Linked DNA regions of Pelodiscus sinensis. The protein of the gene in region 2 purifies or fractionates together with the protein of the main gene of each other region. This does not show direct contact. Links are inferred from orthologs where the notes say so. Each region holds a gene or a part of one and is shown on either strand. Other genes may lie near its edges.

Region 1 (7,295 bases), on a different chromosome or scaffold from region 2:
GTTCCACAGGTTGACTGTGCGCTGTGTAAAGAAGAACTTCCTTTTTTTTGTTTTAAACCTGCTGCCCATTAATTTCATTTTGTGGCCCCTAGTTCTTATATTAAGGGAACAAGTAAATAACTTTTTCTTATTCACTTTCTCCATACCACTCATGATTTTATATACCTCTATCATATCCCCCCCTTAGTCTCCTCTTTTCCAAGCTGAAGAGTCTTAGTCTCTTTAATCTCTCCTCATATGGGACCCGTTCCAAACCCCTAATCATTTTAGTTGCCCTTCTCTGAACCTTTTCTAATTCCAGTATATCTTTTTGGAGATGAGGAGACCACACCTGTACTTAGTATTCAAGATGTGGGCGTACCATGGATTTATAGAAGGGCAATAAGATATTCTTCATCTTATTCTTTATCCCTATTTTAATGATTCCTAACATCCTGTTTGCTTTTTTGACTGCCGCTGCACACTGCATGGATGTCTTCAGAGAACTATCCACAATGACGCCAAGATCTCTTTCAGTATAATCATGCTTGTTTCAATTATTTTGGTTAATTATATTTAAAACTACAGTACAATGGATGAAAAACAGAACACCGAAGGAACTCCTCAAATCCCCTTTAATAGTAACGTAGCTAGTACTGACACTTTATTGATCAACAAATATATACAGCCATTTGCTCAGTGTTACACCATAGGCAACTGAAGAGCAAGTGAGGGCTGGGCACTCTTACTTACAATTTGAATTGACTACTGGCCATTTCCAGAAAGGTCAGTAGCAAACAGTTCATAGACCACACTCTAATAGGAAATTTTCAGTCCACAAATTTAGACCAGCTCTAATCACTGAAGTACGAGAAGCTTTTATAAGGCCATACTGACACCACTCTGGCAATGTAAAGGAGCCTTAACATTTTTTACACCTTGTATATACTTCTGGGGAAATTCACTAAGAATTAGGGATGTAAGCAAACAGTCAACTAACTGATAAGCCTAGGCTTATCGGTTAAGCTAGTCAACTACTCGACAACTCACATTTGTCCGTCCGTCCCCACTGCCTCTTTATAAGAGGCAGCAAGGGGTGGAGGAAGCAGGAGCCATTACAAAAGCCAGGTCATCACAGCACCATCTCCGTGGTGCCACCTGTACTCCCTCCTGTGCTGCTGCCTCTATCAACTGGGCATGTACAGGGGCTGCTCTGGCCAGGAACCTACCCCCTGCTGTGGCTCTGCATTTTAAATGTAGTAAGAGCTGAGCTGCCTGCATGCCTGGCCTTTAGTACATTTCAACTTCAGAGCTGCAGCAGGGGGTAGGTCCCAGTCCTGGACATGGAGCAAGCCACAACTGAGCGGGGCTGCCTTCCCTTATCAACTAATTGAGTGGTCGATAGTATTTTTATTGACTACTCGATTAGCCAATTAACCGCATCTTAACATCACTAAGAACAATAGGAACAATTCACTAAGAAGGCAGGCTGCTACATTTTGCTCTGCCTGAGGAGCCTGCCCCATACCTACCTCCTCAGAAATATCCCTTATAGCTCACAACCCTGCCTTAATTTGGACATGTTGTGGTAACAAAGAATTAACTAATGTAACATGTCTAACTGACGTGAGATACCAACATTTAGAGAGCACTAAAGCCCAACTAAGGAGATACAACAGAGGTCACAGGATTAGTAAGGGAGTATGAAAAAGACAGTCATCTCACAAAAAGTGAGAACTGGCCGTTCTCTCCCCTTCAACACTAACTGATAACTGTTTCCATAACAATTGGTTGGACCTCTATAGACTGGCAACATATGTGGTCTGACATCCCTGTGGATGTTCCCAGGTTGGAGCACTCATAAGGAAAAGCCAGGGCCCATCCTCAGCAACTCCTCCCCTGTCCTCCCAGAGCACCACAAATAGCTCATTTGCAGGGCTCAATCTCAGGGACAAAGGGGGAGAAGCAGGAACTGGGTGATGCTCAATGGAAGAGGCAGGAGTGCCACCCTATGGGCCTCTGCAGCCACCTGGCCTTTTTCCCCCAAGCGCTCCCTCCATTTGCTTGGTCAATGCCAGTCCATCTGCTGCCATTGGAGTGGAACCCCACAGCAAGCAGCAGCAGAGGAGCCAAAATTGACCTCCTCTGGTCTGGCAGATGCCTTGGTTTGTGATCAGTCAGGTCCTTAAAGTAACACATCAAGAAAGTACAAACCCACCGAAGCCTCCCAGTCCAGAGAGCCAAAAGTCTAATCCACTGCTGGTTTCCAGCCCGCAGATGTGAAATTGCGGTAAGCCAGTTAAATAAAATGCTTAACTGATTAAGTGTAATGCTGCAGGGCACACACGAGATGCAGAGGGGCTGGGGCTGCAGCCGGCCTGGGTCCTGTTTGCCCTTCCTAGGGCCAGGGCTGCCAGGATCCTGCCTGTCTCTGTCTGGTGGGGCTAAGACAGGGCTGCCACAGCTGTTGCCCTGCCCTGATTCCTGCCACCCAACCAGTTTAACCAGTTAACTACCCGGTAAACCTAATGCTTACCTGGTAACCATTTACACTCCTGGCACAGCTCCACTATGCACCCCCCCCACACACACACACACCCCTCATGGCACCCAGTCCCACTCCCTCAGCCCCATTTCCCCAGGGTGCCCAGTCCCCCCCTCGCCTCAGCCCCACCTTCACCCCCCCCCCCCAGCACGGCGTCCAGCCTCACCCCCATTGTTCCCCTCCAGGCTCAAGGCACTCAGCCCCACCGGCCCCCGCGGCCCCAGGACGTCCATTCCCACCCCCTCTCTCCCCAGGCCCAAGGCGCCCGGCCCCTCGGCCTAGCCCGCTCTCCCAGCATCCGGCCTCGCTGGCCCATTGCACAAGGCCCGCCCGCTTTGCCCCCACGGGACCTCACCGCATGTCCATCCAAGCCATGGCGCTGCTGGGGGCCGCCGCACGGCTAAGGGCACAGAACAGATCCTGCAGCGTCCTCCCCCCACAGCCCGCCGTCAGTGCAGCGCTACCAGCCTGATTGACAACAACAACACCAATCTCACCCCGCATGTCACAGGCCCCAGCCAATGAGAACAGGGCTGTGGCAGAGGGGCGGGACTTTCTCCGTGAGTTCTCTGTGCGACCGAAAAGAGCCGCCAAGCCTTCGAGCGGCTGCTTCCTGTGTCCCACCGTCTCCCTTCCACCGCCGCGGCGGCCAGGAGGCTGCACCCACAGCCTGGTTGCCAATTAATTCCCCTTGCCCGACCCCCCGCTACTGACACCTCAGCCCGCGGTGGCCTTCGGGCTCCCTGCACAGCGGGCATAGAAGAGGTCACCTGGAGAAGCAGTGGAGTCTCTGTCACTTGCAGTCTTTAAATCTGGACAGGATGGCTTTCTAAAAGGTCTGCCCCATCGCTGAAACTCAAACAAGTTATGGGTTTGATGCAGAAATTACTGCAAGAGATTGGCCTGCGTAATGCAGGCCAGACTAGATTATAATAATGCCCCCTTCTAGATTTAAAGTCTATTCATTGCATGTCATCACATCTTGATATCACTGGATCAATTTGTGGCATTAGTACCTAACAACTCAATGGTGATTGACTTTTCAAGCCCAGGGCTGCCAGGTGTCCGATTTTCAACTGGAACACTCAGTTGAAAAAGAATTTGGAAGGTTCCAGTCAGCACTGCCAACCTGGCTGTTAAAAGTTCGGTCAGCAGTGCTGCAGAGCGAAGGCGGTTCCTACCTGACCTGGCTCTGTGCTGCACCCTGCAAGCAGGCAGCAGGGGTATGGGACCAGTGCTCAGGGAAGGTGCAGCATGTGGAGCCTTGTGGGTTCCCCCACCTAGGAGCCAAACCTGCTAGCTGTTTACAGGCACAGTGTGATGCAGGATAGTAGGCACGAATGGGTCTGCCACTTAGCATACATGCCCACCCACCGCCCTGCCTCTACTACCACCAGACCATGAGGGCTTGCCCATCTCCACTCAGTGCTCCAGGGCTATATCTACACTGGTGGGTTCTTGTGCAAGAACTCTTGCGCAAGAACACGTCCACACGGCCATGTGCTTTTGCACAAGAGCATCCATGGCAGTGTGGATGCTCTCTTGCGCAAGAAAGCTCTAATGGCCATTTTAGCCATAGGGCTTTCTTGTGCAAGGAGCTCCTGCTGCACATCCACACTGCCATCTTTTGCAAGAGCTCTTGCACAAGAGGGCTTACACTTGTTAGAAAAGAGCGTAGCTCTTGTACAAGAAGCCCTGTCTTCCGACACCGTACTGTAAATCTTCTTGCACAAGAGCAGATGGGCAGTGTGGACGCTTTGTGGGTTCTTGCGCAAGAACGGCCATTCTTATGCAATAATCCACCAGTGTAGACGACAGCCCAGGAGATTAGCCTGCTCCTCCACCTGGCTCTCCCAGCAAGCCTCTGTGCCCTGACCCAGCTTCCCTGCTGGGAGCTCCAGGCAGCGAAGCAGGGCAAGCCCTGGCAATCCATCCATGCTGGGTGGCATAGCAGGGCAAGCCCCTGTGCTCTGACTGTTCCATGCTCAGAGTGCCGGGCAACAGAGCAGGGCAAGCCCCAGAGTTCCAACTCCACTGCTAGCTGGAAGTGCCAGGTGGGCGGATGGGACATACCCATGCCCTGAGTGAGGGGGGAGCAAATGGGAGGATCGCACATTTATATGGGGGCTCCCATTTTTAAGAGGGCCCCTGGTCAGAGCATCTATCCCTTCCCCTCTTCCAAGGCTACTTGAGGGAGGAGGAGAGGCAGCTGCATCATTGCTACTCCCCAGTCATTGCCCACCCACCCAAAGTCTGAGCCCCCCCATCTGGTCTATTCTGGCTAAGACGTTGCTGTAGTGCCAGGACAGGTAGAGTCTAGCCTGCCTTAGCTCCACAGTACCACCAACTGGACTTTCAACAACCTAGTTGGTGGTGCTGACTAAAACCACCAGGATCCCTTTTCAACTCAGTGTTTCAGTTTAAAACCAGTCATCTGGTCACCCTATCCACAGAGCCTCACCCCCAGATAGAACCCTCATGCCCCGCAGTGCCTCACCCCCTTACCCCAGCTCTGAGCCCACCAGCCAGGAGTGAGAGGCATGCAAAGAATGCAAGCACTTTCCCCGCACTCCCTGAGACACCTGGGGAACGGGATCAAAAACAAGCCGCATCACAGAGTGCATGGCTGTTGTCCTCTCCCCTCCCCACACTCCATCCTGCCACAATTCCACCCTTGTGAGGCAACTGCAAAACCCAGTGGAGCTGCTTCTAGCCCTCAGTGCTTTGGAGTTGCAGCTTCAGCCCGGGCAGGGGCCTTGCAGAGCCCAACTAGGGCACTGCAGGGCAGGGCGTGCTTGGGCTTCGCAGGTGCACTTTGTGTGTTGCCGCTTTCTCTCCCCTTGCCCTACCTGCCCTGGTGTGGGAACAGCAGCACAGTGACACGCTGTCCAGAAGCTTTCCTCACAAGGGGACGCAAAGCTAGGTAAGAGTTCCTCCTCATGCCCAGACCCCCCACACCTCAATCCCATCACTCAGTCCCCTCCCCAACCAAAACCCTGCACCCCCAGCTTGTGCTGACACCCTCCCTCCCAGCAATCTTGACTCCTGTGCCCGGAGCTCTGCACTCTGCACAACACTGCTGCCAGGGACTGTCCCCAGCAGCTCCACTGCATCCCAGGACTCCTGCGCACTGCCATTGGCTCCATTTTGCAGTTTGCAGCCAACGGGAGCCCTAGGAAGCAGTGTGGGCTGGGCTGCTGCTTCCCGCAGCTCACCTGGGCTCAAAACAGCGAAATGGAGCCAATAGGAACAGCGAGGCTCCATGGCCACAGCGCCAGTAAATAAACAAACCGGCGAGGGCAGTTAATAGGTTTCTCAAAGTGGTTTCGTGGACCACTTTGAGAAAACATTGAGCTAGAGGGGAGGCTGTTACAGATATGATTTTGACAAAAAGGGAAGAATTGTTTGAGAATCTGAATGTAGGAAGTACCTTGGGTGAAAGTGATCATCAAATGATGAATTCATGATTATAAGAAACTAGAAGATTTCAGGCATTGCTCGGGTCCATAGCAGCTTGGAGTCAGGTGAGAAGCACTTCTCCATGGTTGCTGCAGCTCCAGGAGGCATAGCCAGGGAAGGGGTTCATGTCCCCTGGCTGGGGCAGGTCCAGATTTGTCTGTTCACTACACTCCCCAGATTGAGGAATGGAGCAAACTGTGTATTTTCCCCTCACTCCCTGATAGAAGAGGAACAGCCAGCATGTTCCCATGCAAATGGGGGGTGGAGCTGCAGCTCCCCCCACCCTCGCTAAAGGGTACCTGAGGGATGGGAGGCCCGGGCCTAGGACAGTCCTGGCCGTGGGACACACCCCAACCAGCTCCTTTCATCAGCCTGGTGATTTCTATATTGTTGTATGTATCCCTTTTTGCATGGCGGGGGGGAAGGGGAGGAGGGAGCTTCAGCCTGCCCCATCCCAGTGCAAAACCAAACCTTTATCTTGCTTTAAGTTATGATTCACTTTCTTTTATTCCAAATTTGGTGGTCCTATCTCTTACCATTTAGGAGGAGTTCTTGAACAAACAGCTGGACAGACTTACTCACAAGTTCTCAAATATATAGTAGATGATAGGGAAAACAGGAGAATAAAAATAGTGGAAATCATGCTTCACCAATCTTTTAGAAGTCTTTGAGGGGCTCAACAAGCGAACAAAGAAGATCCAGTTGATACTGTGTACTTGGACTTTCTGAAAGCCTTTCACTAGGTCCCACACCAAAGCCTCTTGAGCAAAGTAAATACTCATGGATTACGAGATGAGAGTCTAGTGATGGGTTAAAAGGAAGCAAAGGTTAGGAAGAAATGGTCAGTTTTCAAAACAGAGAGAGGTGAATTTCTGGGTCCCTCACAGATATGTACTATGACCTATTCTGTTCAGAATATCCATAAGTGATCTGGAAAAGGCGATGGACAAGAGGTGCCAACATTTGCAAACAATACAAAATTATTCAAGACAGTTAAGATCAAAACTGACTACAAAGAAGTATAAAGGAATTTCACAAAAGTGAGAATTGGGTGACAAAATGTCAGATGAAATTCAACATTGGTAAGTGCAAAGTAACGCACGTTGGAAGATATAATGCCAACTATAAATACAAAAGCGATGAGGAGTCCTGTGGCACCTTATAGACTAACTGAAGTGTAGGAGCATAAGCTTTCGTGGGCAAAGACCCACTTCGTCAGATGCATGTAGTGGAAATTTCCAGAGGCAGGAATAAATATGCAGGCCAGGATCAGGCTGGAGATGACCAGGTGGATCCAATCAAGGAGGATGAG
Region 2 (7,048 bases):
TCAGGTTTCACTGTTAATTCAATACTATCTGACAAATGCTCCATCTCAATAATCCATTTTAAAGAGTAGTTCCAAAGACTAGTTTTAAACAGTCAACTATCAACACTTTACTGCTGCCTCAGTGTGCATTTTCAAACTACAGTATTTCCTTTAAGATATCAAATTTGAGAAGCACAAAAATAAGTTCTGTATCTTATTCCTTCTAACAATTACTACATATTCTGGAATGTACTCTACCAGACAAGTAAATAAAATAAACTACAATTTACAGTCTACAGGATAAGACAATTATCATACAATTCAGTAAAAGAGTTAACACATTTAATTCTCTTTATTGTGAGCTACAGGCTTTCAATTTCTTGGATCATACAAATATAGGTTGCTTTTAAGATTAAAATTATATTTACCCGATAGCCCTAGTAGTCTATTAATTTCAGTGGAAAGGCTATTTATCTATTCATTGTACCAGAAAACTGGGCCACTGGTCTATCTTCACCTTCCATTTAAACACACAGGCTACGTCTACACTGGCCACAATTTCCGGAAAAGCCACGCAAATCAGGTAAGTCAGGATAGGGAAATCCGCGGGGGATTTAAATATCCCCCGCGGATTTAAATAAACATGTCCGCCGCTTTTTTTCCGGCTTGGGGAAAAGCCGGAAAAAAAGCATCTAGACTGGCGCGATCCTCCGGAATAAAGCCCTTTTCCGGTGGATCTCTTATTCCTACTTCGAAGTAGGAATAAGAGATCCACCGGAAAAGGGCTTTATTCCGGAGGATCGCGCCAGTCTAGACGCTTTTTTTCCGGCTTTTCCCCAAGCCGGAAAAAAAGCAGCGGACATGTTTATTTAAATCCCCTGCGGATTTCCCTATCCTGACTTACCTGATTTGCGTGGCTTTTCCGGAAATTGTGGCCAGTGTAGACGTAGCCACAAAGTGTTGCAAGGAAATCCAAGGGCCCAACTGTCAGTTACCTCCACCTCCTCTCTCCCCTTCCCCCCCAAAAAAAATCACTAAAAGTGTGAGCACTTTTTTAGACCTCAAGTACCTTAAACATTTCTGATGTAATTTACCATTTGATAACAGGGTATACAAAATACTGTACATTTAAAACATTAAAATTAGGGATGTGCAATATAATTGTTTAAACAGGTATTTGATAAGCATGAGCTTATTGTTACTGTAACAGTTACATGCCAGCTCCTGTGGAGCTGGCTGTCACCATGCACTGCTGGCTCCCAGTGTGCTCTTAAAAGGCGGTTCCCGAGCACAGTGGCTCCTGAGCACATCCCGGCCCCACTCCCAGGAAGCCAGCTGCCACCCTGCGCTGCAGGCTCTGAACGAGCAACACACGGTGGCAGCGGGGCTGGGAGCTGGCATGTAACTGTTACGGTAACAATAAGCTCATATTTATCAGTTAATAAACAGTTATACTGTTACATCCTTAACTAAGAATTGACATGCAAATATATCTCCAATAACTCTTCAAAATATCCAACAACAGAAGAAACTGTGGAAAACACTACAAATATGTCGAACAAAATAGTCAAACAAAACAACCATGTGTGAAGGTATTAAAAGAAATTTGAATGTAAGACTTCATATAAAATGTCAAATATTTGATATTACTTATACTTAAGCTTAGAAATATAATATGTATATTAGTAAATGTTGGTAAACATCAATTTCATTTACACCTAAACCCAAGAAAAAATATGTCCATCAATGAAAATGAAAATTTACATGAAGACAGAAGAAAAATACTGCTTATTAAAGCTTGACTGGAAGACAGGTAGTTTGTATGTTTTGATATGTGATGCTGACAATTTGTGTTTCACCTTCTTGAATCACAACATCCACTGTCAATAAGAGGTGGCCAAACAATCAATTATTTCCCACAACCGTGAACATTTAAGTCAATAAAAAATATGCATAGCAACAGACCTCTGGGCAAACCATACAAAAACGCTACGAAGCCTATTTTCATCACAGCCCACTTTGGGCTGCCGACCTCCCAAGGGACACCCCCGAGCGCGATCCAACCCTTTGGATGAGTTACAAATCTGCTAAGTTTGCCGGTTTATTTTTAAGAAAACAAAAATGTTGAGCCGGGCCAAGTTTCCCCGATCCGAGGCGCTGCCCCTCCCCAGCGGGTCAGGCTGGTCCCTATCGCGGGCTGAGCTCGGGGGAAGGAATAAATAAGCACAGTCCCAGCCGGGGGGGGGGGGGGGGGGGGGAGGGGCAGCCGATGTCATGTAACCGGGGGTTACGCAGCTGCCACACAACACAGCCCCACTCCGCCGGGGGCTCCGGGCCCTGGCCCGATGGGCGGGACTCCACAGGCAGCTACCGCCCCGGGGGGGGGGGGGGGGGGGGGGGCGCTGTGGCCTTTTGTCCGGAGCCTCGCACAGCGAGTCCGGCCTCCGCTCCAGCCCCGAGGCGGGCAGGCCCCAGCGGGAGCCGCGGGGAGAATGAGCGGAACCTCCCCGCGCGCGTAAGCCCCTGGCTTCCCAGCGGCGAGCTCTAGAACGCGGCGGCGTCACGGACTCACCCGCGGGCCCGGCTCGCGCTGCTCCGTGTCTTCGCCGCTGGGCTAGCGAGCGAACCGCCGCCCCAGCCGCCGTCACCTGCTGTCGCGAGAGCGAGACGCGACGACGTCAGGGCGCAGAGGGGCGGGGGAACGAGAGTGGAGGGAGGGGCAAAACGGAGCGGTCAGACACTCTCCCACGGGGGAAGCCCGAGAGGGGGTGTCGATACCGAGACGCTACTGGCGCGCGCCCAAATAGCTCCTCCCTCCTTCCGCGGTGCCTGTCTGCGGAGACCTCCTCTCCAGCCCATAATACTCACAGCCGCCTTCCTGCGGCGCGTGTTCACTCGCGCGCTCCTTGTTGCTTAGGCACCCGCGGCTGTTGTGCGGCCGCTGAACGCCCACAGGGCTTGGGGGGGGGGCTGCTGCGGGGCGGCCGTTACGTGCGTTAGCGGCCGCCCCCGCAGCCTAGACCCGGCTGCTCCTGCGCCGCGGAAACCCAGCGCCCCCGCGTGGTTTGCAGCGGCGGTAACTCGACACCCCCCCCCCTCGCTTTCTCCAGCCGTCAAGCGGGGGGGCTCAGGCTGGGCCTCGCGGGCGGCGACCTCAGCCCTGCAGCCAGCGCCCGCGTTTGGCGAAAGCAAATCTTCCCGCTGAGCAGCACGAGGCGGAGACGCCGCTGCACCTACCTCCCGTCAGTGGTGACTCGCCCCCCACCCGCCCTGTGAAAAAAGAGCCCTCCTTTTGCCTGCGCCTGGCTCCTGCCGCTGCACTAGAGCGTCTCTTTGGATCGGAGCTGGGATTTTATGGTGCACCCTGGTCTTTGTGATGGGCTAAAATCCATTGAGCCCTTTCGGGCTGACCCAACATTAATCTCTTTAGGCCAGAACCTTTTGGTCTGACCCAGCATTGAGCTCTTTAGGCGTCTCACTGTAAGACATTGATTTTCCTGGCCCTCAGATTGTTTAGTGGCTCTTCTGCGCACCTCTCCAATCTTTTCCTTTTTAAAAGGGGGACACCATAATTGTACACAGTGTTCCAGTATGGGTCTTAAATTAGCAGGCAGTAAGTTTAAAACAAAAGAAAGTATTTTTTTTTTACACGACACACAGTCCACCTGTGGAACTCCTTGCTACAGGATGTTGTGAAGCCCAAGACTATTTCAGGCCTCAAAAAAGAGTAGTGGTTCATGGAGGATAGGTACATCAATGGCTAAAAAACAGGATGGGCAGGGATGTTGTCACTAGCTTCTGTTTGTCAGAAGCTGGGAATGTGTGACGGGATGGATCACTTGGGCTACGTCTACACTGGCAGGAGTTTGCGCAAATACTTTTAACACAAGTTTTTGCGTAAAGTATTTGCGCAAGAGAGCGTCTACACTGGCACGTGCCTTTGTGCAAAAGCATCTGTGCCAGTGTAGATGCTCTCGCATGAGAAAGCTCTGCTGGCCATTTTAGCCATCGGGCTTTCTTGCACAAGTAATTAACGTTGCCTGAACCCTGAGCGGGAGCGTCAAGAGTAGTTGCGCAAGAAGCACTGATTTCATACATTAGAACGTTAGTGTTCTTGCGCAAGTACTCGCGGCCAATGTAGACAGGTGGCAAGATTTTATGTAAAAGCAACCGCTTTTGTGCAAAATCTTGCCAATGTAGACACAGCCCTGACGATTACTGGTTCATTCTTTCGGGGAACCTGGCATTGGCCACTGTTAGAAGCTAGGATACTGGGGCTAGATGAGTAGCTAGTCTGATCCAGTATAACCATTCTTATGTTCTCACCAGTGCAACATCCAGGGTAAACTTACTGTACCTTCTCTCTACCCTTTTTATACATGCCTGAAATTGTTAGTGTTGTAGGTGTCACCACACTCATTAACGATTATACTGCACAATGAAAATCAGCAGTGCTTTAACTAACATGGGTTGAGCCCTGCTGTGCATCCTAACACAATTTGATTGTGAGTGTCACAGTATTTGCTGGCTTTCATAAAGCCCCAGTTCCCTGACTGAAGTGATTATGTGATAATCTCAACTTCCATTAAAAAGGTAATTTTTAGCCATTATAGTTGCAAAGAATAGCTTCAAAACACAGCATGACAGCACACTAATGGCCCCACAACTAAATAAAAAGTACTAAAATGTATTGGTTTTTTTTAATTATTTTTAAATCATAGCCAAGATTGCTGGGGTGTGTGGCTCATGATTTTTGCACACTTGTTGGCAGTATTGTATCATAACGCCGCTGAACTGGCTGTAGGATAATTTGTTTTTTAAGTTTTGACAAACGTGTGTGTGTTTGTATTAGCTGCTTCTGCCATGGCCGAGCATCCTGCCATGAGTCATACTCTACTGTCCTGCAGTGCAGATTACAAAAGGAACGTGCTATTTTTGCAACAGAAGGAAATGAGTTCTGGTCCCATTGCATCTGTGGAGGAGCCATAACAGTTAATGCCGGTGCTGGGTCTCCCCTTAAGACTCACTGTGAGATGTAAACTATATCTCAACCCTCACTATAAAACAAGCATTCCTGTGCTTAGATTATATGCTATATCAGACTATATCAAAACTAGATACCTAGAATAATACACTGTAGCCTTGGCCTGGAAATAAAAGTGTTGAGGTCCATATATTGTCAGATATGAAAAGGAGAATGGAAAGGTGATTTATTCTAGTGAATCAACAAACTTTCCTAATAGAAAATTTTATTTATTGTGTACAAGATGTAAAATAGGTCTTATACAATACCACAAAGAGCAGTTTCATACACCTTTGAGGCTATCCTTTTTTGTTGTTGGCGTACTATTTATTTCTATTCTCTTTATTGTGACAGCACCACGGATCTGGATTAATACTTTATAGTGCTAGGCCTGTACAGTAGATAGACCCTGCTCCAAATATCTTACTGTCTAAGAGGAGACAACATATAGAACAGACATATTTATGGGGGAGGACAAGCAAACAATGCGCAGCCCAGCTCCACAGCAAAAAGCCCATCTCTGGTAATGCTAAGGCCAGGTTGGTGCTGAGTTGCTTGGCTATGCAGCAGCAGGACAAGCAGAGAAAGTCCCTGGAGCCCAATGGTGAGGTGAATCCATGACACCTTGTCATGGTACTGCAGATAGAATCCATCCTGAGTGTGGTCAGTGCCCAGCAAGCAAGTCCCAATCCTAGTATAGTGGCAAGTCCATCCCTACCTGGTGCTCACAGCTGGAGTCAGTAAGGGAGGAAGGCAGACAAGCAAAAGATAAGAGAGAGCATGGGCCACAAAGAAGAGTCACCAGATACAGCCAGTGGCCACCAACACTGTCACAAACTTCCTTCTTCATAGCTCCAGACCCCCTCATCCAAACCTGCTTCTAACATAGATCCCAAATAACTTCTCTCCCACACTTCCCCTTAACCTCTCCCCAACAGCCTCCCACCCAACTTGCAAATAATGCCCCACCTAGCTCCCCAACTACCACTTAAATCCATCCATATTACTCTGCCCCCAAGTAAATATACCTGTACATACCTCCTCCTGCCACAGCCTTCAACTCCCTGCCATGCCAACTCCCATATCCCCAAATAAACTTACCTTTGGCTGAAGCTGAACACCCTGATGAAACCCTTTCTCAACTCCCTAAAGCCCCCCCCCTTCATGTCCTCAAATCATCTCCTGCCACAGCTTACCATCCCTCCAAACCCCATCCCCCAATAAATCCACTTTTTAAAACTTCTCCTATTCCTCCAATTTCCACATGATCTCCCTCTCAGCTTACTTTTCACCCTTGCCCTTTGCACTGCTCCCCTCCCCAAGTTCTCATTCCTGCTTTCAACCACCATTTGTGCTAAAGATCTGACCCAATGCCCCCAGTTGCTGCTGTGAGGCTGGTGACTTTCTCCCTTTTCTCTCCCTCTTCCTTGTCTTCTTGAGGTGCTTTGATGATTTGCCCCCCTTATTAGAGGAGCCGGCTCCAGTGGAAATACACAAGTGGCAAGAGCCTATAGACTGGAACAGAGAGCCAGGCCCATCCTAGGACAACTGAAGCTGCCTCTTCAGGGTGTGTGTGGGCAGCCTCATTCCCCAACTGTCCACCTCCCCTTCCGAGCAGTCCCTCCACATTTTGCTGGGTTAGAAACAGCAACCCTCCAGAAATCAGAGCCTAATGGTATTACTCAGCTCCCAAGGAGAATATTTTTACCAGTTGCTTAAGACAATGCTACAATATTGGTTAGCATGAACGGCAGGGGGCTCTACACACCAACAACCTAACTGTTGAGGGTTTTGTTTTTTGTTTATAAATTTTAACTCACATTAAATCTTATATACTTCAAAAATTGGTTTATTTACACATTGTGAATGTGAACAAAACTGTAAGAAGTTAAATGTAAGTTAAAAATCAGACATATTATGCTTTTACCAACAAAATTGTATTAAAATCCATGTGTTCCTTCTCAGCTGGAAACTGATTGAGGATGTGTAAAATGGCACTGTTTCATTTAGATACCAATCCTTCAGTGTGCCAATATGATGTTCACT
Region 3 (7,191 bases), on a different chromosome or scaffold from region 2:
AGGATGAGGCAGGAGGTGTGGGAGGGCTCGCAGTCCTGCGGCTCTCCGGAGCACGCCTTGTCAGCGCTGGTGCAGCGTTCGCACTGAAGGCAGCATCCTGGGGAGGGAGGGGGTTGGGGGGGTAACCTGTAGGGTCGCCAACTTCTCCCCCCCCCCCCCAGATCATTCCAGTGCGGCAGCCTGGCCTGGTCTCCCGCAGCGCTCCTTCCAGGCACTAGCAGAGCCTGGCTTGCAGCAGCTGTTCTGGGAGCCAGGACTCCTGGGTTCCTTGGTTAGGGAGTGGAGTCTAATGGTTAGAGCAGGAGGGTGAGTGAAATGGAGCTGCCAGAAGGCCTGGGTTCTCTCCCTGGCTCTATGGGGGCAATGGGGGGGGTAGTGGTTAGAGAGGGAGCTCTGGGGAGTCAGCGGGGGGCAGTGGTTAGAGCAGGGCCAGTGCCGAGGGCAGCGGGGGGTAGTGGTTAGAGAGGGAGCTCTGGGGAGTCAGCGGGGGGCAGTGGTTAGAGCAGGGGCAGTGCCGAGGGCAGCGGGGGCAGTGGTTAGAGCAGGGGCAGTGCCGAGGGCAGCGGGGGCAGTGGTTAGAGCAGGGGCAGTGCCGAGGGCAGCAGGGGCAGTGGTTAGAGCAGGGGCAGTGCCGAGGGCAGCGGGGGCAGTGGTTAGAGCAGGGGCAGTGCTGAGGGCAGTGAGGGGCAGTGGTTAGAGCAGGGGCAGTGCCGAGGGCAGCGGGGGCAGTGGTTAGAGCAGGGGCAGTGCCAAGGGCAGCGGGGGCAGTGCCGAGGGCAGCGGGGGCAGTGCCGAGGGCAGTGAGGGGTAGTGGTTAGAGCTGGGGCAGCGGGGGGCAGTGGTGAGCGTGGGGGCAGCCCCTGGGGCAGCGGGGGGCAGTGGTTAGAGGGAGGGCAGCCCCAAGGGTGGGGGCGGTGGTTGGCGCCAGACTCCCACTCACCGGTGGCCAGCAGCGCCGCGAGCAGGCAGAGGGCGAGGCGGGCGGCCATGGTGCCGAGCCGAGCGCCGGGCAGGAGGGCAGCTGACCGTTGGATGCAGCCAGCCCTGCATCCGTGGGGATTTATAGCTGCGGGGCCTGGGAACAGCCAGTTCCTGGAGGGATCCGGCTGCGGGGCCATCAATTACCTGGCCTGGCCCTCTCACAGGTGGCCACGTCTGCCTTTCCTGCCAGCCGGACCCGCCTGGGGACGTGGCACCACAGCCCAGGGCCGCCCCTGCCAGGCCGGGGGGATCTGGGGCGGGGAGAGGCCGGGGCTGGGACATGGGGCGCCTGAGAGCATCCTCATCCCCCGTTGCCCCAGCCCAGACCCCCCCCACGGGCCTTCTGCCCCTAGCGCAGGGTTCCCGGAGGGGGGAGCCCAGCAGGGACACGGCCGGCCGGTGCCCAATGTGGGCAGGGTCTGAGCTCTAGGGGGGACACAGCCCCAATGCCAGGGAGACGGGCTCCGAGCACCCCACACGCTCAACAGCCACCAGCAAGATTCCCACGCTGGAGCACGGGCTGCCGGCCGGCTGGTCCGCAAACCCCGGGCGTGCGAGGCGCTGCCACGGGCACAGACAGGCTCCTGCAGGCCGGGCCAGAGCCCCCGGAGCCGGGTTAGGGGGAAACTCCCTCCGAAGAGGCTCTGGGGCACCTACCCCCACCCCAGGCTGGGCCCAGAATGGCGCGGTCCCAGGGCAGTAAGGAGCCCTGAGAGGCCACACGATGCTGCTTGTATCACTGCCCAAAGGAGGGGTCCACTCTGGGTGGGGACTGGGGCCTAGTGGTTAGAGCGAGAGGCGGTGGGGGCCAGGACTCCTGCGTTCTAGCCCCAGATCCTGGAGAGCAGTGGTGTTGAGCGGTGAGAGGGGGCAGGCAGGGAACCAGGACTCCTGGGTTCTTACCCCACATCTGGGAAAGCAGTGGGGTCTAGTGGTTAGAGGGGCTGGCGGGGCGCCCAGGTTTCTGTCCCAGCCCTGGGAGGCCAGCAGGGGTCAGTGGTTGGAACAGGCTGGCCAGCTGTCAAACAATGGCCTTTTGTTTCCCGCACTGATTTATTGGGGACTGGCTGCAGGGAAGGAACCAGAATTGCCCCCACCCAGGAGTGGCAGGAGGGGGGTTCACGGCCCCACATGGGGGAACCTCCTGGGGGGCTGGAGCACAGACCCAGCCGCAAGGAGGGCGCAGTGTTGGGGACCAAAGGGGGGGTCTGGAGCAATGGGCACCTTGGGACCACCCCACTCCCGGGTGATGCTGGTGTCAGGGTGGGGGGCAGGTGGCCTCATGTGAGTGTGAGGGGGCCCGGCCAGCTGTCTGGTGGGACGGAGAGCAGCCTCTTGGGGGTCTGGCCCTGGGCCCGGAGGGGATCAGCCAAACCTCTCTGGCCCCCGCGTCTGCGCTGTGGCTGATCCCTGCCCCCAGGGCAGGGGGGCAGATGGTAAGTGGTAGCTGCCGCAGGCGGCTCTAGGTGACACGGGGAGCTGGCCGGGCTGGGGACAGCGGCGGGGGCTGGAGAACCCCCCCCGCCAGCCTCCCGCCCTGCCCAAGTGCAGCGAATGCCCCAGCTCGGCACGACATCTTCTCCCAGGCCCGGTGGGTCTCGGCCCTGGGGCAGCTCAAGCCAGGGCCCCCCTGGCTGGCATTTCAGCACGGGGGGGGGGGCAGTTCAGCATGGGGGGCATCTGCTGGAGGCCCTAGGAACCGAGTGTGGGGCAGGGATTGTTACAGACTATGGTGGGCTCAGCCCAGGGCCGGGAACCCTGTCCCACGCCCCGCGGGGGCTGGGACTCCAGGGTTGGATCTGTGGGGAGTGGGGGCTAATGGTTAGAGGGGACCCGGGAGCCAGGACTCCTGGGTTCTCTCCCAGCTCTGATCCCTGGCGGAGGCCCGGGGCCCAGGGTGCTGAGGGAGGCCTGGCTGGGCTGGCTGGGGGCCGGCCTGTGCAGCACAGAGAGTTTCTGGCCCAGGCCCCAGAGAGGCCCGGGACAGGCAGGCAGAACGGCAGCAAAGGCTGAAGCTGGAGTGACAGCCCCGGGCCCCCCTCGCGGGCTCTCCCGGGCTCTGATGCCTGGCTGGAGGGGCAGGCCTGGGTGCTAATTAGGGTGACCCTTTTTAAAGGGACAGCGCCATATTTAAGCCCTCCCAGGGGAGTCCCAATTTTTTCTTAAAAATGGATGCAGCTCCCGTCCCTCCTGCATGGTGCCGAAAGGGCTCCTGCTGGCCTCCTGGTATGACCCTGCCCCTGCCTGCCCCCCACCCGCTGCCTCAAGAAGGCGCAGCACTTGGTACCAGGAGAGGCGGGTCCATCCTGGCATCCCAGCCAGGCATGGGGGGTGCAGAACACTGGGCAGGGTGGGTTGGGTCAGGCTGATTGGCCACACTCACCCCTGTGCGAGAGAATGTGGGAAAGTGTGGGTGTGCCCTGTCCCCTTGCAAGAGAGTGTATAGGAATGAGTGTGTCCCCTGTCCCTATGTGAGAGAGTGTATAGGAATGTGTGTGCCCTTTCCCTGTGCAGGAGAGTGTGCAGGAATGTGTGCGCCCTGTCCCCGTGCGAGAGTGTGCACAGGTGTGAGCGTGTCCCCGTGCAGGAGAGTGTGCAGGAATGTGTGCGCCCTGTCCCCGTGCGAGAGTGTGCACAGGTGTGAGTGTGTCCCCGTGCAGGAGAGTGTGCAGGAATGTGTGCGCCCTGTCCCCGTGCGAGAGTGTGCACAGGTGTGAGTGTGTCCCCGTGCAGGAGAGTGTGCAGGAATGTGTGCGCCCTGTCCCCGTGCGAGTGTGCACAGGTGTGAGCGTGTCCCCTGTCCTTGTGCAAACCTGGCAGCCAAGAGGGTGACTACAGGCCCCAGCTGGTAGGGTTCTGGTGAGCAGGGGCTCGGTGACCGAGCTGTGATTTGCACGTGTGCACGGTTGTGGTGAGCTGTTGGTGAGCTCGCGTGCGCACGAAGCGCGGCACCAGCGATCGCCCCGAGCCCCGGCAGAGAGGAAGGGGGCACGTGCTCCATGACGTCATGACGGCCTTAGAGGCGACTTTCCTTCTGTGCCGCCAGGGGGGGCAGCACCGGTGGCAAGGCGCATGCGCCGCGATCGAGCGGGGAACGCGGGAAAGAGGCGCGAAGGGGCCACCGGCGCGCGCCGCTTCAGGCGACGCCGGGCGCTGCGCATGCGCATAGCCTCTCGCTGCGCAGCGGCGCCTGCGCAGAGCGCTCGGAGGACCGGGCGCACACAGAGCCGGAGGCGCAGAGCGGTTCTGCTTCCGGCGGGCGGCGGAGTTTTGCTCCCGGGTCGGGGCGGCGCGGAGCGCGGCGATGCCGGAGATCGGGATCCGTCATGTGGTGTCCGCGAGCAGCGCCGACCCGGTGCGGGGCAGACCATTCCGGGGGGGGGGCTGGGAGAGACCATTAGGGAGTGGGGGGGTCCCGGGGAGGCGGGAGGGGCATTCCCCGTGGAGCGCGGGGGAGCAGGGCGGGAGAGTCCATTCCGCGCGGGGGTGCGCGGCCCCCTGACAGTCTCCCCCCCCCCCAGACTCACTGCGCCGAGAACCTGCTCAAGGGCGACACCTACCGCAAGTGGCGGGCGGCGCAGCCCGGCGAGAAGCAGCTGTCAGTCATCCTGCAGGTGGGGGCGGGGCGCCCGGACCCCTGGGCTCTGGGGGGGGGGAGGGGCGGGGAGCCCGGACCCCTGGGCTCTGGGGGGGGGGGAGGGGCGGGGAGCCCGGACCCCTGGGCTCTGGGGGGGGGGAGGGGCGGGGAGCCCGGACCCCTGGGCTCTGGGGGGGGGAGGGGCGGGGAGCCCGGACCCCTGGGCTCTGGGGGGGGGGAGGGGCGGGGAGCCCGGACCCCTGGGCTCTGGGGGGGGGAGGGGCGGGGAGCCCGGACCCCTGGGCTCTGGGGGGGGGAGCCCGGACCCCTGGGCTCTGGAGGGGGGTGGGGGGGGGAGCCCGGACCCCTGGGCTCTGGGGGGGGGGTGGGGGGGGGGAGCCCGGACCCCTGGGCTCTGGGGGGGGGAGGGGCGGGGAGCCCGGACCCCTGGGCTCTGGGGGGGGGAGGGGCGGGGAGCCCGGACCCCTTGGGCTCTGGGGGGGGGGAGGAGCGGGGAGCCCGGACCCCTGGGCTCTGGGGGGGGGAGGGGCGGGGAGCCCGGACCCCTGGGCTCTGGGGGGGGCTCGTCCCCGGCCGTGACTGTCCCCTCCCCGGCGGCAGTTCGAGAAGGAGGAGCGGATCCACAGCATCGACGTGGGCAACGAGGGCTCGGCCTTCGTGGAGGTGCTGGCCGGCAGCTCCGCCTCGCCCAGCGAGCAGGACTACGAGGTGAGAGGAGGGAGCCGCCCGTGCTGGGCTCCGGGCGCCCCCAGGCCTGGGTGGGGGGCGGGAGGGCCGAGGGTGGATCGGGTTCAGCGACCCCTGGGGGGTTGGGTCAGGTCCATCGGCCACTCTCATCCGTCTGTGAAAGAATGCGGGAAAGTGTGTGTGTCCCCTGTCCCCGTGCGAGACAATGTGCAGGAATGTGTGTGTCTCCTGTCCCCGTGCGAGACAATGTGCAGGAATGTGTGTGTCTCCTGTCCCCGTGCGAGACAATGTGCAGGAATGTGTGTGTCTCCTGTCCCCGTGCGAGACAATGTGCAGGAATGTGTGTGTCTCCTGTCCCCGTGCGAGACAATGTGCAGGAATGTGTGTGTCTCCTGTCCCCGTGCGAGACAATGTGCAGGAATGTGTGTGTCTCCTGTCCCCGTGCGAGACAATGTGCAGGAATGTGTGTGTCTCCTGTCCCCGTGCGAGACAATGTGCAGGAATGTGTGTCCCCTGTCCCCGTGCGAGACAATGTGCAGGAATGTGTGTGTCCCCTGTCCCCGTGCGAGACAATGTGCAGGAATGTGTGTCCCCTGTCCCCGTGCGAGACAATGTGCAGGAATGTGTGTCCCCTGTCCCCGTGCGAGACAATGTGCAGGAACGTGTGTGTCTCCTGTCTCCGTGAAGGAGAGTGTGTAGGGATGAGTGTGCCCTGTCCCCGTGCCAGAGAGTGTGCGGGAATGTTCCCAGAGGTCTTGGTCCCTTTGGACTGGGGTGGTGACGGGATTTGGGGCGGGGGACACCGGAGGGTTAGGGAGCCTTCTCTACACCAGGGTCCCTCCTCCCCAGGTGCTGCTGGTCACCTCGTCCTTCATGTCGCCCTCGGAGAGCAAGGCCGGCACCAACCTCAACCGGGTCCGGATGTTTGGCCCAGACAAGCTGGTGAAGGCCGCGGCTGAGAAGAAATGGGACCGAGTGAAAATTGTCTGCACTCAGCCCTACACCAAGGTGGGGCCCCTCGCACGCTGGCCAGGGTGGAAGGGATTCCGCGGGGGTGAGCCAAAGGGGCAGTGCGGATCAGTGGCCATTTTCACTACACCCTGCTGAGGTGGGGCAGGGGTGACGTGCTCCAGGGACAGTCCGGACTGGGGAGTAGCTGTGTCGCTGGGACACTCGAACCCGACTGCCTCTGGGTCCAAAGAAAAATTATCAGAGAGAAAGACACAAGCCAGACCTTCCTTTACCATGCTCAGTGACTGGAGAGCAAGGAGGGCTTTTCTCTTTCGCAGGCTGAATTTCCTTTCAAGCTGGGACTCTCCCCTTTGGTTCAATCCATCCAGCGTTCACTGATAACATGAAATGGGAGAGGTGAGGTAGAAGCCCCTGGTATCCTTCTCCCCCATTGCCTCTCATCTTATGTACATGCGGCTTGAACTCTCTCTTGTATACAATGAACATTTCTTATTCACGCATTTCCCCTGTTGGAGACTGGCTGCCAGAGCACGTAATGCCTGGTGGGGTATTGAGCTGGTCTCTGTCTACCCAGGAGGTAGTCTGGGGGTATTCCCCACAGTAACTTCAGAGTAGAAGGTTATAGCTTTATACACAGAGTTGTTCCACATTTTAACAGGACAATGATGTTCTGCAGATTATGAGTTTTCACATGATACTTCCCGAGGCAGACTTTGTACCAAATGTATGATAACAGTGTGAAAGTGGACACAGTGGGTAAGTGGAGGAAGGATGAGGTCTAGTGGTTAGACCGGGGACAGGGGCTGTGAGCCAGGACTTCTGGATTCTCTCTCCAGCTCTGCCAGTGAGTCACTTTCTTTCTGGCTGATCTCCTGTAGACCTTGGCTTATGGGCTGTCCTTCGTGAAGTTCCACTCGCCGCCCGAAAACAATGAAACCCCATCAAAATCTGCC

What was found.
Region 1: the proteins of E3 ubiquitin-protein ligase RNF146-B (region 2) and HLTF purify together in Homo sapiens (affinity purification with mass spectrometry; 4 studies listed by BioGRID and IntAct, with this or other methods). This does not show direct contact. The link is inferred for Pelodiscus sinensis from reciprocal best matches to the Homo sapiens genes RNF146 and HLTF.
Region 3: the proteins of E3 ubiquitin-protein ligase RNF146-B (region 2) and DNA repair protein XRCC1 purify together in Homo sapiens (co-immunoprecipitation; 3 studies listed by BioGRID and IntAct, with this or other methods). This does not show direct contact. The link is inferred for Pelodiscus sinensis from reciprocal best matches to the Homo sapiens genes RNF146 and XRCC1.

What each region holds. Positions count from the first base shown.
Region 1 is NC_134720.1:25,563,040-25,570,334, forward strand, and holds the start of HLTF (helicase-like transcription factor), read right to left. Parts: upstream 3,016-7,295; 5' UTR 2,900-3,015; coding exon 2,880-2,899; intron 1-2,879. UniProt on the Homo sapiens protein: Has both helicase and E3 ubiquitin ligase activities. Possesses intrinsic ATP-dependent nucleosome-remodeling activity; This activity may be required for transcriptional activation or repression of specific target promoters.
Region 2 is NC_134713.1:90,564,222-90,571,269, reverse strand, and holds the start of E3 ubiquitin-protein ligase RNF146-B, read right to left. Parts: upstream 3,005-7,048; 5' UTR 2,848-3,004; intron 2,792-2,847; exon of another isoform or gene 2,552-2,791; intron 2,187-2,551; exon of another isoform or gene 1,945-2,186; intron 541-1,944; exon of another isoform or gene 1-540. UniProt on the Homo sapiens protein: E3 ubiquitin-protein ligase that specifically binds poly-ADP-ribosylated (PARsylated) proteins and mediates their ubiquitination and subsequent degradation. May regulate many important biological processes, such as cell survival and DNA damage response.
Region 3 is NC_134734.1:124,561-131,751, forward strand, and holds the start of DNA repair protein XRCC1, read left to right. Parts: upstream 1-4,176; 5' UTR 4,177-4,285; coding exon 4,286-4,336; intron 4,337-4,502; coding exon 4,503-4,595; intron 4,596-5,179; coding exon 5,180-5,287; intron 5,288-6,115; coding exon 6,116-6,274; intron 6,275-7,116; coding exon 7,117-7,191. Other genes in the region: phospholipase A2 inhibitor and Ly6/PLAUR domain-containing protein-like, read right to left, coding at 1-97, 941-989. UniProt on the Homo sapiens protein: Scaffold protein involved in DNA single-strand break repair by mediating the assembly of DNA break repair protein complexes. Negatively regulates ADP-ribosyltransferase activity of PARP1 during base-excision repair in order to prevent excessive PARP1 activity.